Linked DNA regions of Pelodiscus sinensis. The protein of the gene in region 1 purifies or fractionates together with the protein of each later gene. This does not show direct contact. Links are inferred from orthologs where the notes say so. Each region holds a gene or a part of one and is shown on either strand. Other genes may lie near its edges.

Evidence for each region. The genes of interacting proteins can lie anywhere in the genome.
Region 2: the proteins of RPA1 (region 1) and RFC5 purify together in Homo sapiens (affinity purification with mass spectrometry; 3 studies listed by BioGRID and IntAct, with this or other methods). This does not show direct contact. The link is inferred for Pelodiscus sinensis from reciprocal best matches to the Homo sapiens genes RPA1 and RFC5.

The regions. Positions count from the first base shown.
Region 1 is NC_134731.1:874,870-882,288, reverse strand, and holds the start of RPA1 (replication protein A 70 kDa DNA-binding subunit), read left to right. Parts: upstream 1-4,349; 5' UTR 4,350-4,382; coding exon 4,383-4,586; intron 4,587-5,579; coding exon 5,580-5,627; intron 5,628-6,210; coding exon 6,211-6,289; intron 6,290-7,419. Other genes in the region: protein-lysine N-methyltransferase SMYD4, read right to left, coding at 1,565-1,654, 3,382-3,526, 4,216-4,349. UniProt on the Homo sapiens protein: As part of the heterotrimeric replication protein A complex (RPA/RP-A), binds and stabilizes single-stranded DNA intermediates that form during DNA replication or upon DNA stress.
Region 2 is NC_134725.1:10,998,468-11,006,412, forward strand, and holds the start of RFC5 (replication factor C subunit 5), read right to left. Parts: upstream 3,054-7,945; 5' UTR 2,931-3,053; coding exon 2,869-2,930; intron 414-2,868; coding exon 349-413; intron 1-348. UniProt on the Homo sapiens protein: Subunit of the replication factor C (RFC) complex which acts during elongation of primed DNA templates by DNA polymerases delta and epsilon, and is necessary for ATP-dependent loading of proliferating cell nuclear antigen (PCNA) onto primed DNA.

The sequences.
Region 1 (7,419 bases):
AACTGTTCTGAAAGGAGTCTGACAGCATGGCTGAAAACATTATGCTGAACAGGGTCGGTGCCAGCATGCACCCTTGCTTGACGCTGTTTGTGACGGGAAAAGCCTCTAAAGCTTCTCCATCGTCCAGAACACGAGCCGTCATGGAACTGACGTACCATCAGGATGAATCTGTCAGGGCACCCAAACTTCGACATGATGCACCACAGACCTTTGTGACTGACAGTGTCAAAAGCCTTGGTGAGATCCACAAAGATGGTGTACAGTTCACGATTCTGCTCTTGACACTTCTCTTGGAGCTGTCGGGCTGCGAAGATCATATCCACAGTGCCACACTCTTTGTGGAAGCCGCACTGTGTCTTGGGTAATAAACCCTGTTCCAGGTGGTCAATCAGGCGATTCAACAACACTCGTGCAAGGATCTTGCCTGCGATGGAGAGCAGTGATATTCCTCTATGATTATCGCAGACTTGTCGATTTCCTCTCCTCTAGTAGAGGTGTACGATGGACGCGTCTTTCAGTTCCTGAGGAATAGATCCTTGATTCCAGAAGGACTGGAACAGCTGAGTGAGTTTGTCGACAAGCATTGCACCACCATCCTTATAGACTTCCACTGGGATCGCATCAGATCCTGGGGCCTTACCACTGGACAACTGGCTGATGGCCTGTAAGGTTTCAGTCTCTGATGGTGAGACATCCAGGCTGTGGTTGATATCCGCCTGGGGCATTCTATCAATCGCCTCGTTATTGATGGAGGATGGGCGGTTCAGTACGGATTGGAAGTGCTCAGCCCAACGCTGTAGAATCAGAGTCTTCTCAGTAATGAGAGTTACATCATCTGAGTCCAGTAGAGGGGAGCTCCCTGAGGGCTGAGGTCCGTACAAAGATCTAAGGGCTTCGTAGAACCGTTTGGCATCGTTTCCTGTCAGCAAACTTCTGGATTTCATCTGCTTTGGCACTCAACCAGGAGTCCTGCATCTTGCGAAGCTTGCTCTGTACGGTCCTGCGAATGTTGTTGAAAGCATTTTTCTTAGCTGTTGACGATGGGTCGTCTACCATTGAAGTAGACCGGAGTTATGGCCTTTTCCAATTTAGTGGTCCTTTATTTTAACACCTTAGACAAGCTTTATTGCTGCCGCCTTTCGGAAAACACAGTGGGATTATGAAGCACTGGCACTTTCAGAAACACACAGCATGCTACTTCTTTGAAGTTGTGGAATGGCATATAAAATAGGAATGTGAAAAGTTAACCAGTACGCATCACCTTTAACAGGGGATGCTTACTGGTTAAACAGCAGAGGCTGCTCCAGCCCTGTGGGGCCTGCAACAGGCAGTGGGCTGATCTGGCACGGGTGGGCTGGCGCAGCACCCCCTGCTCCCGCTAACTGATTAAATGTGATGTGTAACAAGTTAACCGGTTAATCAATTAAACAGGACTGTATATCACTAATATAAAATACAGTTGAATAACTGCAAAACTCCATTGCCAATACCAGATTCTCTATACCCAGTTTTCAAAGTGAATAGCTGCTGCTTTGTCCCTGAGTGTGTCAAATCTAGTACTTACCACAAACTTTCCCAAGTGAAAGAGGGCTGCAGAACGATTGGCATAACACAATGACATTTCTGGGCTGTCAAGTGCTACGTGGGACACTGCCTGCAAAGATAAAAAAGAGCAGTGGCCACACTGAGAAAGGAGGATTGGCATATGTTCCCTGGACAACTTGATTTCTGGAACATGAGATGTGCGTGGTCAGGAGTAGGAAGGGAACTAGAGATTTTCATTCCCAATCCGTCATCATTTTATCTTGACTTCTTCAATTTTTACTCCATGCTACAACAGCCAGGAGAGCTCGTGTGATTCTCAGATGCCTAAATAGGGGAATACAGACGAGCAGGGAGGTCGTATTATTTCTGTAGATTACTTTAGTGAAACAATTACTGGAACATTGTTCCTGATTTTGATGTGTGCTCTTCAAAGAGAAATAATGTTACATTGAAGAGCTAACACATTACTCATGCTCTGAAAAACCTGTCTTATAAAAGACTTAAGGTTAAAAGAGGATAGAATCACAGTCTATAAGTACTTACATTATGATATTTCATTAGGCTTTTTTCTGTACTGAACTCAGACTTGAAATACAATGCAAAATTTTAACAGGCCAACCAACCACTGGAACAATTAACCTAAGGAACATGGTGGATTCACCATCAATGTAAATCTGTAAACCAAAACTGGATGCCTTTCTAAAGACACATAGTTTAACCACAATTAATTTGATGTAGGATATTACAGGATGAAATTCCCAGGCCTCAGTTCTGTAGGAGGTCAGATTAGATTATTAGGCAGTCTTCCATCCACGGGATCACGAGGCAATTACAAAAGCCTATACATTGAACCTCAACACCCTTGTGAAAATGTTTTTATTCAAGATAAAACTAGACCCAATCCAGTCTAGTGCAGAGCTCTCTCAGCCCCTGTGAAAGTCACAGGGAGTTGAATGTGCTCAGCACCTTTCCAGACTGAACAAAGTGCAGTGCTGGGCTTGCCCAGATTTACAGCAGAGCTAGGAATAACACAGAGTCATGTGGTAACAGAGCTATTTACTAGAGAAGACTGAACATGCAGCAGAACAAAACCCAGGACTGTCCTACAGAGGGCTGCTTCCTTGCCAGTTTCACATAACAGGAGACCCTTGCCACAGGATTCATAAGCACCCGGGCATTGCAGCTAAAGGCCTGGTCTACACTCGCCCATTGTCACCCAAAGCTGCCTTTTGTCGCCAAAACAGCGAGAACATTTACACTACAACGTGATGGGAAAAACACACAATTTTGTCAATAAAAACTCCCCCCCCCCCCCCAGAGACTTTTGTCTTTCCCCTCCCTTTATAGTGGACAAAGAGCCAGTGTGAATTTTGTTGAGAAATATCACACAATGCCTGCCCTGATGGCTCTGCTTCCTGTTTTGTGATGTCTGCTGCCCTTCAGACATGGGTCCCTCACCTGGCATGCACCCCAGGATGTACCTGACAGCTGAGCGGGATGCACTGTTGGGGGAACAAAGAACAAGTCCTGCCCGGAACACAGCTGCTGGCACACTGGCCGTGGACATTCCTGGGCAGGGAGAGCTCCCAGAGCTCATCAGGACGCTGCTCCAGGCAGCGAAGGGACAGATCCGCTAAGCCTGCCAGCCGCCCTGTGGGATGCTGACCCCGGCGGCTCTGCTCTAGCTGTGGCAGAGGAGCTCGCTCGCCATGTGGCCATGGAATGTGGCCAACGGGAGGGCCAGAAAACGTGTTACAAGTCTGCATGTGACAGCACTCGGTGGCCAAACCTGCCCAGCGCAGCCACAGCCGAGCCGCCACCAGACCCGCCGCACACCTTGCTGTAGAGCCCGGCCGCAGCCGCGTAGTCCCGGCCCTGGAAGCGCTGGGTCCCCTCCTGCTTGTAGAAGCGGGCGGCGCGTGGGTCCTTCCCGACCCCGACCCGGGCCGCCAGGCTCCGCAGCACCGCCTCGTCCGCTGGCCTGGGGGGCGGGAGAAGAGTCGGGTCGGGGGGGCCGGCGGGGGGGAGAGCGAGGGAGCGGGAGGAGGGGCCGCTCCCCGGGGCCGGCGGGGGGAGGGGGGGGCCGCTCCCCGGGGCCGGCGGGGGGAGGGGGGGGGCCGCTCCCCGGGGCCGGCGGGGGGAGGGGGGGGGCCGCTCCCCGGGGCCGGCGGGGGGAGGGGGGGGGCCGCTCCCCGGGGCCGGCGGGGGGAGGGGGGGGCCGCTCCCCGGGGCCGGCGGGGGGAGCGGGAGCGGGGGGGGCTGCTCCCCGGGGCCGGCGGGGGGAGCGGGGGGCCGGCGGGGGGAGGGGGGCTGCTCCCCGGGGCCGGCGGGGGGAGGGGGGGGCCGGCGGGGGGAGGGGGGCTGCTCCCCGGGGCCGGCGGGGGGGAGGGGGGGGCCGGCGGGGGGAGGGGGGCTGCTCCCCGGGGCCGGCGGGGGGAGGGGGGGCCGGCGGGGGGAGGGGGGCTGCTCCCCGGGGCCGGCGGGGGGAGGGGGGGCTGCTCCCCGGGGCCGGCGGGGGGAGGGGGGGCCGGCGGGGGGGAGGGGGGCTGCTCCCCGGGGCCGGCGGGGGGAGGGGGGGGCTGCTCCCCGGGGCCGGCGGGGGGGGGGAGCGGGGGGGGCGCTCCCCGGGGCCGGCGGGGGGAGCGGGGGGCTGCTCCCCGGGGCGCTCACCGCAGCAGGGGCGCGCAGAGCCGGAAGGTGTCCCGCAGCGGCGCGGCCTCGCACAGCGCCTCCCGCAGGGCCGGGGCCAGCGAGCCCCACCGCCCCCGAGCATGGGCCCGCCAGGCCTCCGCGGGCAGCTCCATGGGCGGCGCGAGGCTCCCCCGGCAGCTGCTGCAATGGCGGCGCCCGCACCCCAGAGGCTCCCTTCCGCCGTACGCGCGCCAGCCAATGGGGGAGCCGCGCGGCTGACGTGGTGCGTGCGGAGCGTGCGCGGTGACGCGGCGGCCGAGCGGGCTGCGGCGGGAGCATTTGGCGGCAGCGCGCGGAGCCGGAGCCTGTGGCGCAGCATGAGCGCGCGCCTGAGCGAAGGGGCCATCGCGGTGAGGGGGGGCTAGTGCGCGGGGCGGGGCGGGGCGAGGTTTCGGGGTGCCCGTGCAATGGGTGGGGGTTGCGGGGCCCCCCCCCGGGATGGGCGAGGGCGGGGCGCCCCCCCGGGATGGGCGGGGGCGGGGCGGGGTTGCGGGGGGCCCCCCCCCGGGATGGGCGGGGTTGCGGGCCCCCCCCCGGGATGGGCGGGGGCGGGGCGGGGTTGCGGGGGGCCCCCCCCCGGGATGGGCGGGGGTGCGGGGGGGCCCCCCCGGGATGGGCGGGGGTGCGGGGGGGCCCCCCCCCGGGATGGGCGGGGGTGCGGGCCGGCCCCCCCCCGGGATGGGCGGGGTTGCGGGCCCCCCCCGGGATGGGCGGGGTTGCGGGGGGGCCCCCCCCCCGGGATGGGCGGGGTTGCGGGGTGCACCATGCGCTGAGACGAGGGGGACAGTCCCCGGGCCGGTGTGGACTGGGGGAGTCCGTCCTGTTGGCCCCGTGGAGCGGGGAGGGGAGCGCAGGCTGCTGAGGACTGTGACTAATCTCCCCTCCCCCAGCTGTCTCCGGAGCACCCCGGGGGGGGGGCAATGTTGGGGTGTGCCAGAGAGAATTCTGAAGTCCTTGAATAAGTTACAGTCTGTAGGAAGTAGAACTACTTTCAGCATCTCCATAGACTGCCTGAAAGGGCTCAACAGGCTACTGTGTGAGAAATGATGAACTAGCAACTTGGCCTGTTACTTCCCATAAAGTCCAGGGATTTCTTAGGTGAAACACGTCTCTCAGCACATAGTCTTGCCCTTTTCCTTGTACCAGCAGTGTGATTCCTTCTACAGTGAACAGAACTTTTCAGGATGTTCACATTGCTGGCATACTATCTACGTTTGATTTAGCACTTTGGGAGCCGTTTATTATAATTAGTCTAGTTATTTATTTGCTAATCTCCCTGGTTACAAAGTTTAAAGAAAATCATTTCCAATCAAAAGGATTAAATCCTCTATCTTCCTTTACAGGCCATAATGCAGGGAGAGAATAATTTAAGACCTGTTCTCCAAGTCATTGTGAGTATTCCTTCAAATGTCCTCTTACTCGTGTGACCTGTAGCTTAATGTACTTGTAAGTGTATGTGCCGTTTTACAAATCCATAAAGACAAGGTACCTAACCTGGCAACCATTAAGTTTAACTGGTTAAATGATTTGACAGAAGTGGGTGAGCTGGAGAGGACCCTGCACTGTGGGCTGAGACTTCCAACCCCGCTCTTGGCTGTCAGCTCCCAATCTGGGCTCGCAGGCTGGGAATCTGCAGCATCACAAGGGGTGGAAGCAGCAGCCTTGTGCAGGGCTGGAAGTGGCAGGCTCCTTCCCCTCCCTCCCCACCACTTCTAGCTCCGTTTGAGCTGCCAAAGAAGTGAAAGTCTTGTAGGTGAGTAGACCAGTACTAGCAACTTGTACTTGAAAGGCTCATTGGCATGAATCTGCACAAGCATGTTTTAGTCAGTCTGAGAGAGGCTTTAATTGAATGTCATCTATCTTAGTTTTCTGTTTTATGAGTAAGCTCTCCAGAACAGGTGTCAGCTCTTCGTTGTTTCTAATGTATGCCTGTAAAATCAGATCAGGGCTAAGAATTCAAGTTTTTCCTTCTAGAACATCCGAGCCATCGCCACAGGAAATGGGCCACCTCGTTACCGTGTGCTGATGAGCGATGGGGTGAACACACTCTCCTGTAAGTTATGCATTGTCACAAGAATTTACAAGTACATGGCTAATAATTAGACCCAATGGTCAGAATTAATGACAGTGGTATTTGCTGCTGAACTGAGTTCCAGAATGTGAATGGTATAGAATTTATTTTGATGTTGGAATCTGTAACTGTATTTTATCTTATAAATAAACTCCAGCTTTTCTGAGTTGTTGCAGTGTGTCCAAGAATTTGTTTATTATAGAGAACAGCTCAATTCTATGGAATGGTGATTAGCGACTATCTTAATAATGGTGGTCTGGGTGGATTGATTTAAATCAAGGTGATTTGAGTCATGAATTTAAATCAAGTTATCAAAGAAGCTTAGATTTAATGTGCTTAGAGTGCACTTAATTTTGGAGTAAACCCCAAATTTTGGAGTAAGCCCGGATTGAACTCACTGGCCCCTCTGGGGTTCTCTTGGAAAAGATAAGTTATGCTGAAGAAAAATAGGTAATTATGATCTGGACCATGATGTTCCAAAATGAGAGGCATGTATTTTGTAATATCTGATAAGAAAATGACAGTCAGTGGCAACTGGCAACTCTAGATTTCTTTTACTGTAGCTTTCTATATTGTATACTTGAATGACAGATTCTAATCCTGGTTAACTAATTAAAAACAAGCTATAAGGATTAGCTAAGAGAATTTTTTTTTCAGCAAAATGTAATACAGCAAACAGCTTGGGAATTTACTTGTCAAATCACACACTAAAAGGCATAGAGTCTTGATGAATGATGTATTTCAAAGTGAATTATTTAAATTACTAACTGTGGATACCACTTAGATCTTCATCTTTATCTTTTAGAAGATGTATCCACATCTTCATCTACATCATTTTCTCCCAATAAGCAGTTTTCCTTATTAGTTTTGTTCTTGCAACTAGACCCTGCATCGTCATGTTGCGCTACTTCCACTTGACAAGTTTTTCTTTTTTACCCGGGGAACGAATTTCTTCAAAATATTCCTGATAGGGTGTGTCTGATGCCCAGAAGCCATGATGCATTTTCTGTGGCAAATGTGGGGGAATATAGAAAGCTCTGTGTTCTGTTCTCAGACTTTAGAGAGTTAATATGTAATTTATGTTTGGGATATAGTCACACTTTCTCGTTTGT
Region 2 (7,945 bases), on another chromosome or scaffold:
ATCATGGCAACACATCACTAATTGCATGACAGGAAGTGACTATTTAACTGGTTTCTGCAAGCTTGCCACCCATTGCAAAGAAGCTAGTTTCCACAGTCATTAGATAATGCAGCTTCTCTTCTGCCGTCACATAATGTGGAGTCAGGAGTCCTGCTGCCAAAGTCCTGCTACCACCTCTTCCATTGAGTTTCTCTGTGACCCTAGGCAAGTCAGATGACCTTTGCCTCAGTGGCTCCATCTATAAAATGGAAATTATAGCTGCCAAGCCCAAAGGTATCACAGGAGTTAATGTCTGTAAAGGCCATAAGGAGGCTCAAAAGAAAAATGCTGGTAATACTAAGTACTCACTCGTGCTCAGAATGTCCTGGTGTGAAATTAGGTCGTTCAATGTCTGAGGGCGATATTTTTCCACCCTAAAGATAAAGGTATTTTAACATAAATGCAGATGATGAGCAGAGATTTCAGGCTTTTCACAAGTGTAGAAAACAGGTGTCCCAGACATGAGATTTTTCTGTTCTCTTCCCCATGCTGGACAATCACCCACAAGGCTAGATAAACACTCACCTTCAATCTACTCTGGATTTGGCTGACATCAGAACCTAGCCTTGTGGTTCTGGTTGCAAGTCAAAGGGATCTGTTTGACCCTTAAGATGACAAAAAAACCCTCACAAAATGAGCTGAACTTGTAATTTTTCTGCACAAACTTAGGTTCCGGCATTGCCAAATCCAAGCCCTGGCTGAATCCTAGCACAGAGAACCCAATCCAGGCACCTGCAGTTCCCTTTTGGAGACTAAGTTCCCTTTTGAAGACTAGCCTGCTCTTTTGGCATCTGCAATATCTTTAAATGCCCCAAAGTTTTGTCATGCCTTATACAATTAGAAAAACTCTGCCCTTAGGAACTAGATCCAACTCCATGCTTCTAACCGCAAAATACTCTGCAAGTCCTAGGTCTTCACACTGGCATTTACAAGGGTTAATCTGGGGATTGATTGCGGGTGGTGGGCAGAGAAGCTGGAGTCAACTGAGTTGGGAATTGCAAATGATCCCACTAGAACAGAGCAGCTGAGGTGCGCTCTCGTGGCTGAGTACAGGACTGGCTGGGCACCATGTTTTATTAAACAGATGTTCTGTGTTGAGTGTAAAGCAAGCCAGGCTCAGTGAACACTGAGCCACCACAGCAGGGTAGCCTTATTTCTATTAATCCCTAGGGAACAGCTGACTTTGGACAAATTGCCCCACATACAGGGATCCACCTCCCAGGAGGAACATGGCATTTGAAGTCATAAAAGACTTGGTTGTTGATTTACTCAGGGGAGATGGATGGCAGGGGAGGGCACACCAGATCAGACCAGGTGAGAAACAAACTAGCATGAACCAATTTACACCAACTCAGAATCTGAAGCCAGCCCTTCCTTCCCCAACATCTCTTCTTCTCACTTCAGGAAGGAGTGGCTTCCCCAGATCTGGGAAGGGGAGGAGAGGCAGACCCTTCCTAAGGCTGCAAGACATAGAGAACTATTTTTGACAAAAGCGGGCTATATCCTACTTCCTACCCCGTGCCAGCACTGGTGAGAGGACAGTCCGGGGCAATTTGCATAACCCTTTGGCATGGAGTTATTTTGACTTTAGGAACGGCTGTTACTGCTATCCTAGGCCTCTCCTACAACCTGAACTTTACCGAGCTTCATCCCTTGCAATGAATACTCCATTGCAGCGCATCTGCCTGCAGCCTGTAACTACGAGACACAAGGGGAGGGAGGGCAAGCAAGAGTTGCAAACAGGAAGGGAGAACCCAGGGCTGTATAGCCTGAGCTGTGCCCTCCATGCAGTCAGGGCAAGGGGGCGGGGAGAGGGAGCTAACCCCACGCCATAGCTGCTCCACCATGCCAGCTCTTGCATGCAACAGTGGGGGCTGGATTCGCGGATCCCAGCTCCCCTGCACACCCCATGCCAGCTCTTGCATGCAACAGTGGGGGCTGGATTCGCGGATCCCAGCTCCCCTGCACACCCCATGCCAGCTCTTGCATGCAACAGTGGGGGCTGGATTCGCGGATCCCAGCTCCCCTGCACACCCCATGCCAGCTCTTACATGCAACAGTGGGGGCTGGATTCGCGGATCCCAGCTCCCCTGCACACCCCATGCCAGCTCTTGCATGCAACAGTGGGGGCTGGACTCGCGGATCCCAGCTCCCCTGCACACCCCATGCCAGCTCTTGCATGCAACAGTGGGGGCTGGACTCGCGGATCCCAGCTCCCCTGCACACCCCATGCCAGCTCTTGCATGCAACAGTGGGGGCTGGACTCGCGGATCCCAGCTCCCCTGCACACCCCATGCCAGCTCTTGCATGCAACAGTGGGGGCTGGATTCGCGGATCCCAGCTCCCCTGCACACCCCATGCCAGCTCTTGCATGCAACAGTGGGGGCTGGACTCGCGGATCCTAGCTCCCCTGCACACCCCATGCCAGCTCTTGCATGCAACAGTGGGGGCTGGATTTGCGGATCCCAGCTCCCCTGCACACCCCATGCCAGCTCTTGCATGCAACAGTGGGGGCTGGACTCGCGGATCCCAGCTCCCCTGCACACCCCATGCCAGCTCTTGCATGCAACAGTGGGGGCTGGATTCGCGGATCCTAGCTCCCCTGCACACCCCATGCCAGCTCTTGCATGCAACAGTGGGGGCTGGATTCGCGGATCCTAGCTCCCCTGCACACCCCATGCCAGCTCCCGCGTGCAATTGGCGGGAAAAGGGGGGATGCAGGGACCCAACCCCCCCTTTAGCATGCATCGGGGGAGGGGGGGGCAGGGCTGGACGGGCCCGACCCCAGCTGCGCGGCACCGCTGGGCCCAGGCTCTGTGCTTCTCCTACCATGGCAGGTTCCTGCTTTTCCCGGCGGGCGGCGGCGGCTGCTTGGGGGCTGCAGACTCCATGGGGCCGCGCGCGCCCCCTCCCCGCCTTTGCAGCGGGGCGCTCAGTCCGCGCCCGGGGCAGCAGGAGAGCCCGGCGGCTCGCGCTCAAACAGCTCCCGGGCCTCGCGAGAGCGCGCGGCTGCCCGCCCCTCCCCTTCCCCGGCTGCCCGCGCGCGCTGGGGCTGCGCACGTGGCTTTCGGGCCAGGTGCTGAGCGCGCGGCCACCTTGGTGCTGGGCCCGCGGGGCAAGCGAGCCACTGATCCTTGCACTGAGCTGCAATGGCTGGAACCCACAGCAGGCCCCCGGGGTGCAAGAGTGCCCCTAGTTCCAGCACCGCTGCAGTGGATTGGCCTTCTGAGCGCTGCGCTTGGCTTAAGCCAGCATTCTCCCAAGCATTCTGCAGCTTTCCTCTGCAACCATAGGTGGAGGAGCTTGCTTGTTTGGTTAATAATAATAATAATAAAAAAAAATGAGAGTCGCCTGAATCCTGGAGGTGGGGCTTGAAGGAACACAAAACCTGACAAAATCACCATCCTTAGGCATATGCTGAATCCTCAGCACTGTAGGGCAGGAAGCCCCACTTTTAGTGCCTGCTATGTACACCTAGGGCAGTGGTTTTCAAACCTCACATGTTTCTACGCAAACCTTTCCCTGGACCACCAGTTGCTAATGGAAACTCGCCATTAATTACATAATTATGCCTGAGTCATTTTGCTAGTGCTGGAGGTAGAGAGAATGGTTTGATTTAACCTTAACCAGTAAGAAAGGAAATGTTAAATTATTAAAGAGTTTTAATTAAATGTTTTAATTTTCTTATGTTAGTTTATTAAACTTCATTTTAAATAAATTACAGAATTACTTTATAAAGGAAAAACAACCTTGTGATACCATCTACATCAATGGTCACCAACCAGTAGATCAGGATCTACTGGTAGAGCTTGGAGCCTCTGACAGGTGATCCTGACTGGTTTGGCCAGGAAGCTATCAAGCACTGTCACTCCAGTTACTCCTCCACCCACACTTATGCTGCTCCTGCCGGCTGCCTTGGAGCTGTCCCCCTGGGAGCCTCTTTCTTGCTGTGCAGGATGTGGGAGGGAGAGGATGGGGGGTGCTGATGTCAGAGTGTCCCTCCTCCCCCCACTCCTGTACCCTGTCTCCACACAGAGAGAAGGGGATGGCGGGAGCTTGGCAGTGCAAATCTCTGTCACTCTCACACAATGTGTGTCTCTATCATTCTCACAAACACATACTGCCCTTCACTCACATCTCCCAACCTAACAGAAATGTGGGTTGTTGTTACTTCTGTTACTCTTTGTGAAGTGTTTTATTTTTGGTTTCTGACTAGTCTGTTCATTTCATAATTTTCATTTCTCTCTTATGCTTAAATGTATTTCTTTGAGGAGTGAGTTCTAAAATGCTTAACCTGTCATGGCTGGAGTAATTACCCCTGTGGGAATTGCTGCTCCTGGAAGTGGCTGGCATGTTCATGCAGCTCCTGAGAAAGGGAGAGCAGGGGGTCTCCACATGCTGTCCTTGCCTGCAGACACCACTCCTGCAGCTCCCATTGATCAGTAATGGGGAACTGTGGCCAGTAGAAGCCGTGGGCTCAGTGCCTGTGATGAGGGGCAGCATGGAGCCATTGCTTTACATGCTAGCTGCTTTCAGGAGTGGTGCAGGGCCAGGACTGGAGTAAGACTGCCTTAACTCCACTGCAGGGGCGGCCCTAGACTAGCTGCAAGCAACTGGCGCCCTAGGCGAACCATGCAATCAGCGCCCCCACCTCCAAACCCCTCAATGATATTGTGCCATCATTTGGTGCCCCATTTAACTTGGTGCCCTAGGAGACCACCTAGTTCGCCTATATGGACCGGTTGCCCTGCCCCACTGTTCCACCACCCGGAAGCTGTCTCAATTAAACGGTGCCCAGCCAGAGCCTGCTTCCTGAAACCCTGTCCCAGCCCAGAGCTTGCACCTTGAAACCCCTCCTGGACCTCAATCCCCCACCCTGGGCTAAGCCCGAAGCCCCTCCCACACTCCAAATCCCTTAGCCAAAGACCAGAACCTTCACCCCAACCCCTGACCCCAGCCCGGTGAAAAAGAGTGAGGATGTGGGAGGAAGGGGGATGGAGTGAGCAGGGTGAGGGTGAGGCCTCGGAGAAGGGGTGAAGAAGGGGTAGGGCCTCAAAGAAGGGGCTGGAAGAAAACGGGGCAAGGTTATTTGGGTTTGAGGTAGATTTTACATGGCTCTTAAATTAAAAAAGTGATCTTGTGGTTAAAAAGGTTGGAGACCCCTGATCTACATGTTTTGTTAGTCTATAAAGTGCTACTAGACTACTTGTTGTTTTTAAAGTTTTTCCTGTTACAGACTACTTGGCTACCCCTCTGAAGTATTACTTTATGTTCAACACAAAAGGTTTCAATGTTTTGGCAGGGGTGAGGAACTGTTTTTGGCTCAGAGGCCTCTAACCCACAGAAAAATCAGTTGGAGACCACACAAGTGAAAAGCAAAACAAATCCATCCAAAACCCCCCAGCCCTCACTGATGTGGCCCCCAACTGGGACACCTCACTCCTGTGGGGTTTCAGCCCCATGGGGTCAAGGAGAGGGACAGGGAAGACTGCAGTTCAGGGATTACCATGGGCTGGGCGTCTGGCCAGGAGGAAGGTTGCAGGAGCAAGAGAGGGTGCTTGAGCGGGTTGAGGGTGTCTGGCCAGGGGTAGAGTGCAAGAGCAAGGGAGCATGCAGGAGTAGGGTGGGGGAGAAGGGTGTCTAACCAGGGGAGAGGGTGCAGGAGAAGGCTGGTGGTCGGGTGTCTGGCCAGGGAGAAGGGTGCAGGAGTGGCCTGGTAATACGGGGTCTCAGTGGGGAGCGGTGCAGAAGCAGGGTGAGAATGCAGGATCTGGGCATGAGGGGAAGAAAGAGCACTTGTTTGCTTTTGTGCGCCATGCTGCTCCCAGTCAATCCGGCCAATTGGAGCAGCAGAGAAAGCCTGCAGGCAGAGGGGCTGTGCACTGCTGTTTCCCCAGCTGAAGAAGTGGGAGGGAGAGTGTCAGTGCACAGAGCTGCTTCCGGCTCCACTTCTTCCCCATAATCTGGCAGGGAGGCTCAGGGCTTCCCGTCCACCACAGAGGAAACTCAGCAGTGATGCACCAACCTTGCTGGTGGGAGTGAGAGCACGAGGCTGGAGAGCCAGTGCAAGCTTCCTGCTGCAGGGAGAAGGAGGGAGGCAGGAAGTGGGGGGAAGGACGGGGCTGACCTTGAGCTGCGGACTACCTGGAAGGTGGTGGTCCAAGGACCACAGTTTGAGAACCACTGGCCTAAGGCCACCACTGCAAAAGGGGACCACAAGGTGCTGGGCAGTGCTGATGCCAGCAGCCATCCTCCACCCCGGGCTGTGCTCAGTCCGTGGTTATCCACTCCACTTCACGGTGCAGGGACCCAGACAGGGCTGGAAGCTGAGGTTCAGGGCAAGTGGTGGAGCCCTGGATAGCAGCCGGACCCGGGATGTGGGGTTGGCAGCAGCGAGGAATCCACGTAAAGGTGGGGGTGCTGCAGCGCCCCTGAGTTCCCACACTTACGCCTCCTTACACTGCTCCTGCCCCTGCAGCCCTGAGTGTAGCCCCGCACCCTATGGACCAGCCACTGCTCTGTTTCCCCCACCCTAAGGACGGCCCTGTCACCAGAACAGGAAATGTTGGAAACTATGCTGATTTTCCTCCTCTTAGCGTCTGGACCCCTAGAAATACTTTGCCCCAGTCTTGCAGTGAGCTCCCATCACATGGCGTGCAGGCACCGGCTCAGGGGGAATTACCGGTGTGCTGGAACTAGAGGTACTCCTGCACTCCCTGTTTTGAAGTAATAATACCAAATATGTGGTTTCCATCGTCAGTACCCTATTTATAAAAATTGCTCTAGCGCCCCTGGGAATTACCCATGGGGCTTTGCAGGCCCTTGGGATCCAGTTGTGAGCCTTAATTGGTTAAATTGCCTTTTGTAACACTGAAAAAAAAACTGTTAAGAGCTCTTGCTTTTGAAATAATTTGAATAAAACTTCACTTTTTGGAGACAGGGAGCAATAGGTAAAAGGATTATCTTGAACACATCCCCAGTTATTTAATTCAAAGTTATAAGTGTCCTGAGTGGCATATTTTTGTTAGTCACGAAACATTATCCACACGTACATATTTGGAACTCATCATCTGCTTAAGCTGGAAGGAATATTGAATGGGACGATATTGGCATGCCGGTATATGGAGAAATCAGTGTACTCCAATCTTGCAAAAAGCAAGATTGTGTTAGATCTCTTATAAAACATTTTAGTGTGATGAGAGGTTATCCTTAAATCTTTAGCATAATGAAAGGAGAATGGAAAGAGCGGAGTGAGTCACTTAGTTTGTCTAAGAATGGGAGACTATGAAACTTTAAGTGTTTTAAATCATGATCACAAACAATGCACAGTTCCAAATGTAAATCAAACAGCACGTAGAGCACAAAGCAGAAAAAAATAATATGCCCCTTTCTTCTGTGTGATGTATAATGGAGGCCTGAAGACTTAGCATATGAATTTCCTTTTTATTGAAAATAATCTTTTTTTTTATTAATTTAAAACTTGACATTTCTGATTTTTTGTTTTAATTTTTCCTGTTTTTGCTGGTGGACTCCAGTCATTTAGAGATGTGGGCTCTGGAGTTTCTTAGCCTTAGTTGTATTGGTGGACAAACTGAATTATTAACAAAAAAAAGAGGTTTTGCTCTCAAATGTGTGTTAAAGGTGTTAAAAAACAACCATAAAGCATCCCAGAGTTCAAAACAATTTCAATAAAATATTCCTTTTTATTAATCAATTTTCTTGCTTGGTGCCTCTAATGTTATACATATGCCAACATCCCAGCAGGTCATAGTCTCTTAGGAAAAATGGAATATGCAAGAAAGGAGTTTCAATCTTCAAAAATAAAATACAATGAAAAAAAGCAAAAAAGGGCACAAACAATTTTTCCCATTATTAAATCTTCTGTAATGATAGGCTTAGTGCTATT